2 linked regions of the Lonchura striata genome follow. The protein of the gene in region 1 purifies or fractionates together with the protein of each later gene. This does not show direct contact. Links are inferred from orthologs where the notes say so. Each region holds a gene or a part of one and is shown on either strand. Other genes may lie near its edges.

What was found. Proteins that work in one complex are often made in the same cells at the same time.
Region 2: the proteins of PDHA1 (region 1) and RAB7A fractionate together in Homo sapiens (co-fractionation; 3 studies listed by BioGRID, with this or other methods). This does not show direct contact. The link is inferred for Lonchura striata from reciprocal best matches to the Homo sapiens genes PDHA1 and RAB7A.

The regions. Positions count from the first base shown.
Region 1 is NC_134604.1:101,794,941-101,801,779, forward strand, and holds the start of PDHA1 (pyruvate dehydrogenase E1 component subunit alpha, somatic form, mitochondrial), read left to right. Parts: upstream 1-3,825; 5' UTR 3,826-3,826; coding exon 3,827-3,988; intron 3,989-5,210; coding exon 5,211-5,225; intron 5,226-6,606; coding exon 6,607-6,675; intron 6,676-6,839. UniProt on the Homo sapiens protein: The pyruvate dehydrogenase complex catalyzes the overall conversion of pyruvate to acetyl-CoA and CO(2), and thereby links the glycolytic pathway to the tricarboxylic cycle.
Region 2 is NC_134614.1:12,813,293-12,820,812, forward strand, and holds the start of RAB7A (ras-related protein Rab-7a), read right to left. Parts: upstream 3,019-7,520; 5' UTR 2,906-3,018; intron 1-2,905.

The DNA of each region.
Region 1 (6,839 bases):
CTTCCTCCATCTATGTTGCTGTCTAAAGCTGGAACCACTAGAACCTGTAGGACTGAATGGGAACTAGTCAGAAGGGATGTGAGACAGATCAAAATAGAGACATTTTCAGTAAGAAATGCAGAGAAGCAATGGAGACCTGAGAAAAGGAAGAGAGGAATAATGATAAAAGAAATGCTTGGATAAGAAAATTGAATGAGAATGTGGAGGACAGGAAGAAAAATGGGAAAATATAAATAAATGGAAATGCAAAACAAAGAATAATGAGAGAAAAGATTGTTCTTGCTAAGCAGTTTAAAACAGAGTATAGTGTATTTATTAATATTTAGAATGGGAGGAGGCATCTGGAGTGAAGCTGGTGGTTTAGATTTGAAATATGGAAAAGGAACTAAGACTACATCTGTTGTGTTTGATAACTTAATTCTTCGGCCCAGTCCCAGGATCTGGTCCCTTGTCATTCACATCTGAATATGTCCATCCACTTGTGTGCTCTCACTCGGAGTTAATTGACTGCTTCCCACCAGGAAGAAGTCAGGGCAGGAATCTGGAAGCTGCTGTGTGACCAGCACAGATAAGATTATGCCACCATCATCACCAGTCTGTCCTCCAAATGAACAGAGCCAGCTCACCATCCACCACAGAGATTCTCACGACGAGCACACAGCAGAGTCCCCCCAGTACTGCCATTTAAATGACACTCAGAAGGGCTGCTACATGGCCTCAGTTTGCTTCAAGCATTTTGACTTAAATGAACATGAAGAACAGAGACTGCAATTTAAGGTGCCACCATATGGTGCCACCCAGGAGACCTGGGGAAGCGTGTCACAGCACGGATCCTCCCACGGAGGAAATGAGGCTGAAGCAATGTGGCCACGAGCTGCTCCTTGGCAGCCACCCTGCCTACCTGCTGACTTGGAGCTATGGTGGCACAGGAGGAAGAAAAATCATGCAGCAGACTTCTGGCTCCTGGAATGAGGTGGGGATTGCTTTCACCTGGATGCAGACACTGCCAGGGGAGTCCTGGATGCTCCCCTCTGCTTTCAACCCAGTGGCAAGCATTTGTAACAGCAGCTGCAACCCGAAAAATAACATTTTAGGATCACACCCAGAACAATAGAACACGATGAGTTTTGGCCAACTGCCATGCAACACACCCTTGATGTAATACTAAAGTCACACATGGCAAGGTACTCCATTATGAAATCTTACATAATCATCTTTCATGAAATTATTTTCTAGTGTCGTTTCTGCTTATGATTTTATTTTGTTTTCCTCTTCATTGTTTACCTCATTCATGAATTAGCTTTCTGCATTAGTTTTCTGTAGAACAATTTAATAATTTCAGGATGTTTTAAGAGCTTTTAATAAAGAAAATATATGAATATTAATGAAATACCATGAAAAGTAAAAAAATCGGCAGAGGTGATATAAATCAGTACTTTACTTTATATTTCCAGGGTGGACAAGAATGGATAATTTCCCATCTAAATAACTATTTCCAATGACTATTAGAAGTGTTGATAACTTCTGTCTATAATTGTGTAACTATAAAAATGGCTCTTTTTTTTTTCTTTCATTAGGAGAAAGAACAGGTAATGACACTGAACTTGAAATTATCTTGACTGGATTCTTTTGTAATAATAACAATAATAATTTTCCTTTGAGCAGGAGCAATTATCCAGTGATCTCTTGAAACCTTTATTTCACACTGTTGCTTGGTGAAGTTGGCATGTAAATTTACCAGAAGCTTCCTGTCTTACATACAGATGCCAGTACACTTCATTCTTTTGATGAACCTCATTTGGAGAATGTGAAAACTATTAAAAGAAGAAGGTGAATCCTTGTTTTGCCATGCACTCCAGGAAATTCTGCAGCTGAAGCATCCTCCCATGAGCAAATCATCCCAGCCCAGGTGCCACTTGGCCTTGCTATAAACCTGAGGTGGGAAGGAGGACAGACCTATGTGTGCCTCATGAGCCCCACAGAGGCAACTGGTGGGTGCATCAACACCACTGATATGCATGAATCGACCAGCAATCTCTCAAGGAACGTCCAGGCTGACTGATAAAAAAAATGCAGGTTGCATGCTTCCAGACACTATTTAGAACTGTCCTGGGACCTCTGGGGGTGTTGCAGCACCTTGGAGAAGCTGGGGGAAATCACAGTCCTTCAGGATAATGTCTTTAGCAGCAGAGCCACTTCCTGCCTGCAGGACAACATCTCCAGCAAATCTGCTGGAGGCTGTCAAGTACTTGCTCTGCAAGCAGTGAAGTGCTACAGACTAAAGGCACCCTAGGAAAAATGCCTTTTGAGACAACTGATCAATATTTTCACTTTGCCCTTTGTTTTCCTGGAGGTCAGCTGCTGTTGCTGATGTTATTGCCTCATGAAGGAAGCCTAAATCTGCTTAGTAGTGTAGAACTGACTTGCAAAATTCAAATTTCCAACACATTACATGCCAGTAAAGATTCCGCAAGAGGTTCCTGTAGAGACTTGCCTTTACCAATGTGTTAGCAAGAATTGCTTTATCCCTTGGGACACTGGAAACTGCACTATCCAGGTACTCCGGGATGGATTTCATGATTGCAAATGTGATATTATTTTCAGGCTTTTTTCTTAGATGTGAAAATCAGTAGTATTATTTTGCTTCTTTTACACATCCCGGCCTACCTAAAGGCAAAGTGCATGTCAAGGAAGCTGCAGGGCAGCAGCACAAAGACAGGATGCTGAGCTCTGCCAGTGCCCTGCACTGTCACCAGCACTAGAAGCTGAAGAAAGTTTAGCTAATTTTCAGTCCTCCAGCAAGCTGATACCAAGCCTGTGTTTGTTTTTCTGAGCAAGAACTAACCAAATATATGAAAAGTTAGGCTTCTTCACAGCATCTTTATGAGATGAGAGATGGCTACCTCCTTCCTACTCTGTGTTACAGACAAAGTGAGGGAAAAAATCACATTAGCCACAAGTGTCTTTATTAATGGAACGGGGGGAAGCCAAGGAAGGAGGTGAACAGTACAGTGGGGATCCATATGAGGCTGTATTTTGGAAACAGATAGGACTTTCAGTCCTCTCTGATGGAGGTGAGGTAGTTTGAGAGGCACATTTTCCCTGGAAATTATGCTTTAAAAATTAATCACTTGTGCTGCACTTGAGCTTTGTGCAACCCGCAGGAATCAAGGACTCAGCAGACACAAGCACTTGTGCTGCCAACAGGTGAATGAGATTTACTTTCCGGGTGTTTTTTTTGTTTTGTTTTGTTTTGTTTTTTTGTTTGTTTTCCGCCCCCGGCGTGCCCCGCAGCCGGCAGGGAACGGAGGCTGGCTGGCTGCAGAGATCGGCAGCTGTCATACGGTGGGAGGACCCTGCAACACCGAGTTAAATCTTAACTTTGCTGTGCATTTCCCAAGGGACGGATGCCTGTGACGTTAAAGGGAAACCGTTTCAACACTTTATACTTTTAAAAGCCAGGGAATGCGCTCACACGGAGCCACAGAATCAATGAGGCTGGAAAAGATCTCTGATAAGCTCGAGTCCAGCCCATGACCCGACACCACCACGTCAGCTGGACCACGGCACTGAGTGCCATGTCCACTCTTCCCTTAAACACCTCCGGGGACGGTGACTCCACCGGCCCCCTGGGCAGCCCATTTCAGTGCCAAATCACGCTTTCTGAGAAGAAATTCCTCCGAAGATCCCAAACCCCTTGACGCCGGGGCTGCGTGAGGGACCCCGATCTCCCCCACACTAATGACCTTTCATGACCTTTAATGACATTTCGCCTCTGGCCGGCAGGGGGCGTTGGCCGGGCGGCCGCCGCAGCGCAGGCCCGCGCATGCGCAGAGCGCGGGGGCGCAGGCCGGGCGGCGGTCGCGGCCGAGGCGGCGGCAGGAGAGCGGCGGACGGGGCAGCGCTGCCCACCCTCCCCTCCATGCGCAAGATGCTGCTGGCCGCGCTCTCCCGATTGCTGCAGGGCCCGGCGGCCGCCGGGAGGACGGTGAGCGCGGCCGCTGAGTGCGGCCGGTGCGGCCCGGCCGGGAGCGGAGCGGTGCGAGGGGGCACGGCTCCGGGAGGGACGGAGGGAGCGGCCCGGGAGCGGGGGCCCGGCGGCGGAAGGGAGCGGCTGAGGAAAAATTAATGGGGAAAAGAACCGCGTTGGTTTTTCTTTCCCTCGCTCTGACGAGCCCAAGTGACAGTAAAATGGTGGTCGCGTCAGGAGCTCGGTTCTTAAGCCGATAATGGCGCAGGGCTTGGATCGATACTGGCCGTGCTTACTTAGACTGCGCGGTCAGCTCCCGCAGGGCGATCCGCTCGGCCCGCTTGCAGTTCAGCTTCTGACTGCACTGCTTGACCTCCCTTCGCTCAGCCAGCGGCCCCTTTCTACCTCTGCATCAATTGTGTTTCAAAGTTCGTTATTTTTTTATTAGTGTCACTTCTTGTATTTTATGTTTGTTGTGTGAAAAATTGTGCTTTTACCGCTTCATTCAGCTTATTCCACTGTAATGACTGTGGCCACGAGGAAAAATTAACCCTGCTGAAAAAAAAACTTGTTGGTAAGGCCAGAGTTAAAAGGTACTTTTTTGGTAACTGGAAATCAGGAGCCGTTTTGCCATGGAGAGCAGATGTGTTGCTGCAGCCCCCTTCCGAGGCAGCTCTCTCACCCAGGCATTCACTGTATGAGGATGACTGCATCCATCAGAAAAACACAGGGGAGAAAATTTACTGGAAGCTGTCACTATCTCTCTTTGGGCTGCATATCTAGGAGTATTTCCTACTTCACAATAGAATTTCTAGATTAAATTTTGCAAATATGGGTGCCTAAAATTTGTCCGTTACTGCAAGTACTTGGCCTGCTCTGGAGATACTGTGTTCTCCTGGAATGCCAAAGTAAATCTGGTTCAGATATTTCAATAAAGATTTTTTGGATCCTACTGCTTACCAAATATGTAAATATTTGTCTTGTATTGTTCCTATGGCTCTGCAGTGAAGGCATAAATTAGCAAATAAATAGAGGCAGACTTAATCTATAAAGCAGTATCTCATATATGCTTTGAGCATTTTCCAGAGTGTACAGATGGATTTCCATGTATAGAAACTAGCACTTGCAGTGTTCTATTCTAGTTGGATAATAATTTGCTGACTTCTCCTCCCCTCATTATTTGATACAGCTACTTACTCTTCTTTTTTTTTTTTTTCCCTTCCAAATGCTGCTAACCTAGGGAGCCGTTAGCGAGGTAAGGCCTCAGTCAGTCTTGTCAAGGTTTACTTTTGATAGATGTACTGCCTACATATCAGGGCTTTGGTTCAGACTCCTCAGTGTGCTTTTAACCAGGAGTTTAACCAGGTGGCCTAAAGAGATCCCTCCTGACCGTGGCCATTCTGTGATACTGTTAATCCATACTGTGGATTTACTTCCAGCTCTAGAAGTAAAATAGCTTTTCTTCACTGATAATACTGATACATTGTGGTAAATAGTGTAGAAACTAGGTTTAAATTAAAACTTCTAAATATTTAATCTGATAACAGGGCAGGGTGAATGGGGGCAGTGTTACTGATAAATCTGATCGATATGCAACAGAGGAGGTAACCAGGATGGGTTGAGAATTTTCTCCCAAGCTTGACACGTGTCAGTCAGAGCTTTTTTGGAGATGGTGACCTGAACATTCTCAAAATTTTGGTAGAATCTACCTTCAGCTGGAATCTACCTCCTGGCTGAAGGAGCTACTGAAATTTTTGTGTAACTTAATTAGCAGTATAGTCTTGCCACTAAAGATGCAGTGTTCCTTATGCTGTGGCCACAGTGCATGCATGGACATGGGCCATCCTGTCTGATGCTGCAGTGAAACTTGCTAAAGTCATCTCAAATCACCACCATTCATTAGTCAACAGCCCGTGTTCCTTCTTTCAGAGGGACCAGTAATGTATTTTTAGACATCCTTCCTATCTCTCCTCTACCATGCCACCCTTTCTGTTGTTCTGTGTTTCTTGTATCCTCAGGAACCTTCTGTGTTTCCACGTTATTAGAGTAGCCATAGTACTGGCCATGCTGTCATAGAAATGATGTTCTCTCTCTCTCCATTTTTATGGCTTTGAATTCCCCCAATTTCTCTTCCTATTGAAAAGAAAAAGTGAGAGTAGTTTACATTTCAGATATCTGCTGTATTTCTTTTGTTTGGTTAGTTTTGGGTGTTTTTTTTTTTTTTGTTCTATCTAGTCAAAATTCCATTTAGCACAGAGTCAGCAGTCAAAGTCTGTGTTGGTTGTCTCTCCTTATATTGTCAGCCTGGCATGTGAAGGGATAAAAAATTATTTTTGTGGTTTTGATGATCTTCATTGTCAAAAGTTTTGATACTTACTAGGTTTATTTTAGATAATCAAGGGTATTACCAGTTTAAATTCTCTTTTTCTAATCTTAATTTTAAATAATGGGTTTTAAAGGATTTTGATATATAGACTAAAAGTTCCCTAGTCTTCTGGGATATGCCACTGCTGAGTCTAATTTATAAGTTATTTCACTTTGGGAGTACTCTTAGAAATTACTTGAAAAGTCACATACTTTTACTTGATAATGACATTTAAACATTGCTCATGCTTTGGTTTTGCCTTTTTTTTAAGGCCTCTCGAGTGGTGGTAGCATCACGTAACTATGGAGACTTCGCAAGTGAAGCTACATTTGAGATTAAGGTAAAGAACACTTAATACTGGCATTTTTTGTAAGCATTTGTTAGAGATCTTAACCTGATGGACTGGTCCCCGTGTCTCTTTCAGTTAGAAAATACGGTTTGAATTTCCAGAACCAAACCCCTCACTATCTGACCTGATTACTAAGTGCAGCTGGAAGTACTGTG
Region 2 (7,520 bases), on another chromosome or scaffold:
CCAGAAGACACAAGGAAACATGGACACGTGCAAGGTGAGAGTCCTGTGTTTGTTTCACAAAGGGTCAGTTTACTTCAGTCACTAACGAAATCGCTGCATTCTGAAGGCAAGGACATGCAACAATAAGTACTTGTGAGCCCACATCATCCAACAGTTTCAGAGAATACATCTAAGTGCCCTATTGCATAGCCCTTATTTTCAAGCCAGGTACCTGCAAACCTTCTCTCACAATGCAGCATTAAAAAACACACCCTAACCAAGCATAGCCAATGTTGTTTACAGCCAAATGTTAAGTTCTGCATAAAACAGTCTCATTTTCACACAGAAGTCAGACCAAAATCCCATATATGTTAGAGACAGAACTATTTATAGTTTTGCACAGATGGTTTGATGGCAATTGTTATGTTTCCTCAAGGACAAGCTTTGCCAGAGATTTGCTCCAACAGGTACTTCTCACAACCATCCAACACAAGTATCCTAAAACATGAGCTTTAAGAAAGTGCTGCAGAAAATAAATCTGGTAACCCTCCTGCTCACAAGCCTTCATTTTGGTTAGCAAACTAAGCAAAGTCATATCTCTCCCAGGTCACTTCAGAGCAGAGCTTGTATATTTTACACTTTCAGTTGAGGATCTATCAATCTTCTAACATGTCTGTGCTGCTCAGAAAGTTGGATTCCCTGGCTTTGACAGGAGGGCCAGGATGCCTGTAGTGAAAACTCTGCCACACAGTTATTTAAATTCTTAACTTGTCACCCTGAAGGTACAACTCGGGGTGTCCTGTTTCCCACCTCTTCACTCTGGTGACCAGTGACAGGATTAAGAAAAGAACATGAAGCTTTGTCAAAGCAGGTTTAGGCTGGCTGTAGGGAAAAAGTTCTTCACCGAAAGGGTGGCTGGGCACTGGAACAGGCTCCCCAGGGAAATGGCCATGGCCCCAAGCCTGCCAGAGCTCAAGAGCACTTGAACACTCTTAGGCACATGTGGGGGTGTCCTGTACAGGGCCAGGAATTGAACTTCTATGATCCCTATGTGTCCCTTCCAACTTGGAATAGTCTGTGATTCTGTGCTGAGCTATTATGAGGGTATTTGAGTTTGAGGACAGGGACCACTGCATGACACCACAGGAAAGAAGAACATTTAACACAGCTACTCCCATCTTATACTTCACACTACATGCTGGGAGAGCAAGAAACTGCTATGAGATTTCAGAAGTCTTCATTATTGAGGGGTCAGATTAGCCCCATAACAGCTTTTCTACACCAGACGTAGGGTAGTAACATAACAGCACAAAGAATAAAGAAAAAAATCCAAAACACACAAACATACACCCCAAATAAACAAATAAGGCAATGCTGTAAAGTTAACAGTACTAGAGCTGCTTTAATTCTGAGGACTCAGGCCAGGCAGGCATGGTGGGTCCACTCATTAGTGCATGGAGGGCAAGTCATGTGTTCAGTCAGCTGTTGGGAGTCACAAGGGAGAGGGGGAAAGAAAAGTATACTTGTTCTTCCCGAGTAAGTACAGCAACGAAGCCTTGATTATTTAACAAGGAATATTCAAATTACTCCACCCACTTTAACCTCAAATTCAGCTCCTGAGAGAGCAGGGTACACTGACTCCAGCAGCCTGGTTCTACTGGAACCAGAGCCAGGCTGCAGCTGCTATTCACACGCCATTGGTACCACCACAGCCTTCAAGTCACAGCCAGCCAAAACACTGTGGCACAGCTACTTATGTACCATTCCCCTAAAAAGAGAATCTTCCACTTCCCCAAACCCAATACCCACATGGATACAGACTGTTCGGCATAGGCCAACGCTGGCCAGCCAGTGACAAGTACTGAAAGCTTTAAGGTTCCATGCTGGCAAGTGTCAGACAAAGAACAGCTTGCTTACAGCTGTGGGGGGGGGACTTCATTCTGTCATGTGTTCTCAGTTTACATATAAAAATCTCATACACACAGACCACAACAGCTCTGCTTATCAGCAAACATTTGTAGCTTTCCAGGAGATAATGCTGAAATTTCCAGCTTTGAGAACAAAAGGCGGAGAGTACTAGGTGAGACACACATTTTGATGCTGAGGTTACCTATCCTACTTCAGATTAAGACAGCCGTTTTTACAACTAAAATAAGCCCTCTATTTACAGGGAGTGCAACTGTCTTAAGTACAACCACCAGGCATTTCCATGTTTATTAGTCTCTCTCTATATATAGGGAAACTAATAATGTATCTATCACTTAATTTACCTTATTACACACTTACAGACAAAAGCACTTCTAACGTCCACTCTAATAGTTCTTAGAACTGACTCAGGCTTTACACACACCGACAGCTACTTTCGCAATAACTGCCAGTGTCCTCGGCCACCTCTTTGGCCAGTTTAATTGCTCCCGGGGTGCCGGGTCATGCTAAAAGCGCTCCCCGCCGACCCCCCGAGCAGCGTTTCACCGTCCCCCCGCGGCCCCGGCCCTCCTTCGGCCGCCGGCCGCCCCGAACCCTCCCGAGGAGCCGGAGCGGCTCCGCACGCCGCAGACAAAGCGCTCCCTCCCCGGGAGGCACCGCTCGGGCCTCCCCAAGCCTCCCGGCACAGCGGGCTCCACAAAGGCCGGGCGGAACGCGCGTCCTGGGAGCGGCCCTCGGGGAGGAGCCCCGTCCCGGGGAGAGCCCCCCGTATCGTCCCGGGGCAGCGCCGGGCCCGGCTCCAGGCGGCGCGGCCGCCTGAGCCCGCCTCGGGGCGGGCAAACCAGCCGGGCCCCGGTGCAAAGCCGGCCGGGAGCACCGAGACAGCGCCGCCTCCGCCGCGGCCCCCCGGTGCCGGGGAGGGGCCGCCAGCGGCTGCCCCGGCCCGGGGCGAGGCCGCCCCCGCAGCCCCGCGGGCAGCGCGCGCGGCCGCCGGGCTCACCTGGTGCTGCCGCCGCGGCCCGACCCCGATCGCTGCGCCCCCCGCCCGCCTCGTCGGCTTTAATGGGCCCCGCCGCCTCCCGCGCTCGCTTCCGCCTCCCCGACGAGTTCCGCTCACGGGGCCGCGGCGTCACCGCGCCGCCCCCACGTCACCGGGCCCGCCCGCATGGCCGGCGCCGGGCCGGCTCTGGGCGGGGGGAGTGCGGCGGTACCGCCGGGCCGGCTCTGGGCGGGGGGAGTGCGGCGGTACCGCCGGGCCGGCTCTGGGCGGGGGGAGTGCGGCGGTACCGCCGGGCCGGTCCGTGCAGGGGGAATGTGCTGGTGCCGCCGGGCCGGTCCGTGCAGGGTGAATGTGCTGGTACCGCCGGGCCGGGTCCGTGCAGGGTGAATGCGGCGGTACCGGCGGTCCGGTCCGTGCAGGGTGAATGTGCTGGTACCGCCGGTCCGGTCCGTGCAGGCGGAATGTGCTGGTACCGCCGGGCCGGTCCGTGCAGGGGGAATGCGGCGGTACCGCCGGTCCGGTCCGTGCAGGGGGAATGCGGCGGTACCGCCGGTCCGGTCCGTGCAGGCGGAATGTGCTGGTACCGCCGGGCCGCACGCACGGCAGCGCTGCGCTGGGACCTGCCTGCCCCGCCGGCTGCCAGCGCAGCAGGGCAGCGAACACCGCACCCTGCGCTGAGGGGAGGCGGGAGGGCCAAAGAAGCCTTTGTGCTTTCGGAAATAAACGATGGGGACACACAGGCACAAATCTGTTCTTCGCTGTCTTCTAAATAGCATTGAAGAGCTAGCGCGGAGTTCTCTGCAGTTGCATTCCTATGTGATAAAAACCCTCAGCTATTACTTAGACTACATTTTAGATTATATATGTTTAATATTTGTAATTTTTTACTCGCAGCTGTAATCTAAAGTGGGGTAGTAGCAACAGTGCTTGTCAGGAAAGAAGATAAAAGATGCCAGTTGAATATACATTTAGATTGATTAACCAGGCAATTGTCAGCACCAAGATCAATAGGCAGGCAAGTAAAATGGGGCCTTCTGAAGTCTCTGGACTTAAATCCATGGGATAATAACTATCCTGGTTGTATAAGTGAAATCCATATTTCTACTCTGTGTTGGCAGCAAGTTCATTTTGTTACTCAGCAATTACTTGAATATTATTATTCATCAAAGTCATGTGACTGCTGTGGGTTTAGTTAGCTTATGAACTCAGGAAAGACACCAAGGGGAAAAAAGTATTTTTAAATCTAGTGAAAGATAATAAAGGACCGAGGCAATATTCTAGCAATATTAAAAAGAAAATCACACAATGACAGACTTGTTGGGGTTGGAAGACACCTCTGGAGATCATCCCGCCCAGCCCCCTGCCAAGGCAGGGTCACCCAGAGCAGGTGACACAGGAACACGTCCAGGTGAGATCTGAATGTCTCCCGAGACTCCATGCCCTCCCTGAGCAGCTGTTCCATGGCTCTGCCACCCTCAGCCTAAAGAAATTCTTCCTCATGTTGAGGTGGAACTTCTTGTGTTTTGGTTTATGGCCTTTGCTCCTCGTCCTGTCACTGGGCACCACCAAAAAGAGTCTGGCACCATCCTTTTGGCACCTGCCTTTGAGATATTTGTATGGATTACAGACACCCTCTCAATCTTCAGACTACACAGGCCCAGCTGCCACAGTGTCTTCTCATAAGAGAGATGCTCCAGACTCCAGAGAAAGAAAAGTTTAGCAACAGTTTATTAGTGCTTTTAGGGTGCCCCATTAGATGCAAAGAGCTGCAGAAAAACGTGGTATTAGTTAAAATGCAGATTGGACAAAAGAGGAAAAGCCTTCAGCACATCAGCAGCTGGTGGAGCAGAGCACTGGCTTATCCCAGTCCATTGCCTTTAACAGGAGACCCATGTGCTGGGCTGTCATGGGCAGACTTTATTTGGCAAATTAGTGGATGTTCCTCAGCTCTCTTTTCCTAAAAGCTTCCTTTTAATTTTTTTTTTACACAATATGTAAAGCAAACAAGAACTGTGAGTGACATTTCCTCTTGTACTGCGGAGCAATCCTGGCACCACCTGTTACAGGCCTTTGTTATGCAGAATTTCACAAAAAAGTTCCCTGGGCCACTTGCTGTTGACAAGATGCTTTCCAGTCCTCGGTGGGAACACAGCATTTTCTTAAGCTGATGAGGCAAGATCCTGCTTGCTTCCAAGAACATACAGAGCACCAGTGGCAGGAGACAGGTCCCTGCTATCCAGGATGGGAGCTACATTCATAGTGGCAGAGTGGAAGTAGGAGGATGGTAGTAGCAAATGGAAGTATTGAGCTATGGCTCTTGATATATCCCCCTGTCCTCTCCCCATCAAAATAACCACGTGCCCTGGGAACACTGGAGTGTGCTGCAGCAAGCAGCCCAGCACACTGAGCTTTAGCAGCTTGTGAAGGAAACTAAAATGTCAAACTCCAATGAAAACCCATAAAAATGGATCAGTTTGAAAATCAGATGCCTATCATTCCCAATCACTAACACTGCTCTGAAGAAATCCATTCTCTATCCTTGAGGGGCATTCACATAGCTGACTGGATCTCTGAGGTTACAGTAACAGGTCTTTAGACATTTGCTGATGCAGAAACCTCAACCTATTTCATGCACTCGTTCCTCTAAACCAGGAAGTGAGAATGTCTCCTGCTTTGATTTTCTTCCTTTTGTGTCACCTAATCTCTATTTACTAATCTTCCTGATCCAATTAGAGACAATCAAACATTATGTGTCTTACACCACCTCTTTGCTTTTGTCCTTAGACCAAAAGAGCCCCTCCTTTTCCCTTCTAATTTCTCAGTGAGCACCGGTACAAAAACACCTGCAGAGAGGCCCAGGGAGGACATCACCTCAGCTGTGGCACCTATAGATCCCTGAGATGAGCTGAGAGCATCTGGGATTCCCCACAGTGCTTAATGTGTTCACCTCTTCTGTGGACACACAGCTACCCCACCCCTGGCCATCTGTGACATTAAAAGCTTGTGGAGAGTTCCCTTATTCCCCTGATACTTGTTCAGCTTATTTCAGCTCTTCAGAGTCCTGCAGCCTCTCCTCATTGCTGGGAACAACCTTTCTTTGCCTCTGTGCCCAGAAAGATGTAGCACAAGCCTAGAGTGGCTGTGCCTCAGTGAAAACTGACTGTCCAGAGCCTCCTGTGTGTGGCTGTCCTCTCTCAGCTGGCTGTGCAATGCTTTCCTTTGTCACTTTTGGCCTCCCAGAGCAGCTTTCTCAAATTATAATTATAATGATCTAACATACAAAAAGGGAACTAAAATGCAGTAAATACACAAAATTTTGCTTTGATGCTCCAAGTTTTGTCATGCTTTGATTTATCTTGTCTAAAGCAGATTCCCCCTGCTTCTGCTGGCATTTTGTTCATTAGAAATCTGCTAGTGCATGACCACCTATGCATTTCCACTGGCAAGAGCACAGACCCAGTCTTTTGCCTGTCCTGTCCCTAATCCCTGCCTGCAGTACAAACACTGTTCTGGTAATCTATTAATGCTTTCACCTTTGCAATCCTCTGATAGTTTCTATGGCATAGAGCAGCATCACATGAAAACAAAAAGGTAGCTCTGGACAAGACTTGATCACCAGATACCAACTATAGGAAGCAACTGCAGTCACTTTATCTCATGGCAGATCTCCAATCTGTGGTGCAGAGGACATTGCACTCAGTGCAGGGATTATGTCTGTGCTCACTGAGAAAATGCTGGAGGATGAACATCTTAAAGCCCTGATACAAGGTCTAAATGCAGCCATTGCAACCTGAGTCCCACAGGGAGGACAGGGCTGACCTGCAGGGATGCAAAGTGGGATTGTGCCAAGTCCCCTCACACCAGACAAAAGAGACACATAAAAAAATGGCTTTGGACTCTTTTGACAGCTTCCCCCTGTTCAATAGTGACAGCCACAAGACTGCTGCAGAGTTGTCATCTCTTTGATACTGGGAGGTGGCAATGCTGGCACCTTCCCTTAGATGCAAGCTCACTCCCTGAGATGAGAAGGTCCAAACACCTGCTCTGCCTTTAAGTCAGCCCCCTGCAGAGGCTGTGGGCAACATACAGATCACAGGGGATATCCTTAGACAAGTATTTGTGTTGGCCCTGGCAAGACAGGCAGGGAGAAAAAAGCCCGTGCTGCTGGTCATGATGTAAGGTGGGCACCACATGGCTTTGTGCTTACTGTAGTTATCTGGGCCTAGACTAGTGGAAACCAAAGCCCATGGAAATGTCTAGTGTCACATGGGAAGAGATGCTTCCATGGCCCAGACTTTGTGCTTGTGGCTAGAGAGGCACCCACTGTTTATAACCATAAACTCATGAGGCTGTCACACAAATGGTGACAATCACCTGAGCCTCTTGCAGGTCTCCCAGCTGCCCTGACTCCCCATCTACAGAGGTTCTCCAACACCACCATCACCTTTCCACTTTTACAGCCAGTCCTAAATACCAGATAATTATTTTTTTATAGCTGCATTGGGAGGTATGCCAGATAATTTCATATTATTGTTCTCATACTCAATTGGAGAAGATGATCCAGAGAGTGAAGTAACTTCCCTGAGGCCAGAGTGAGTCAGCTACTTTGTCAGAT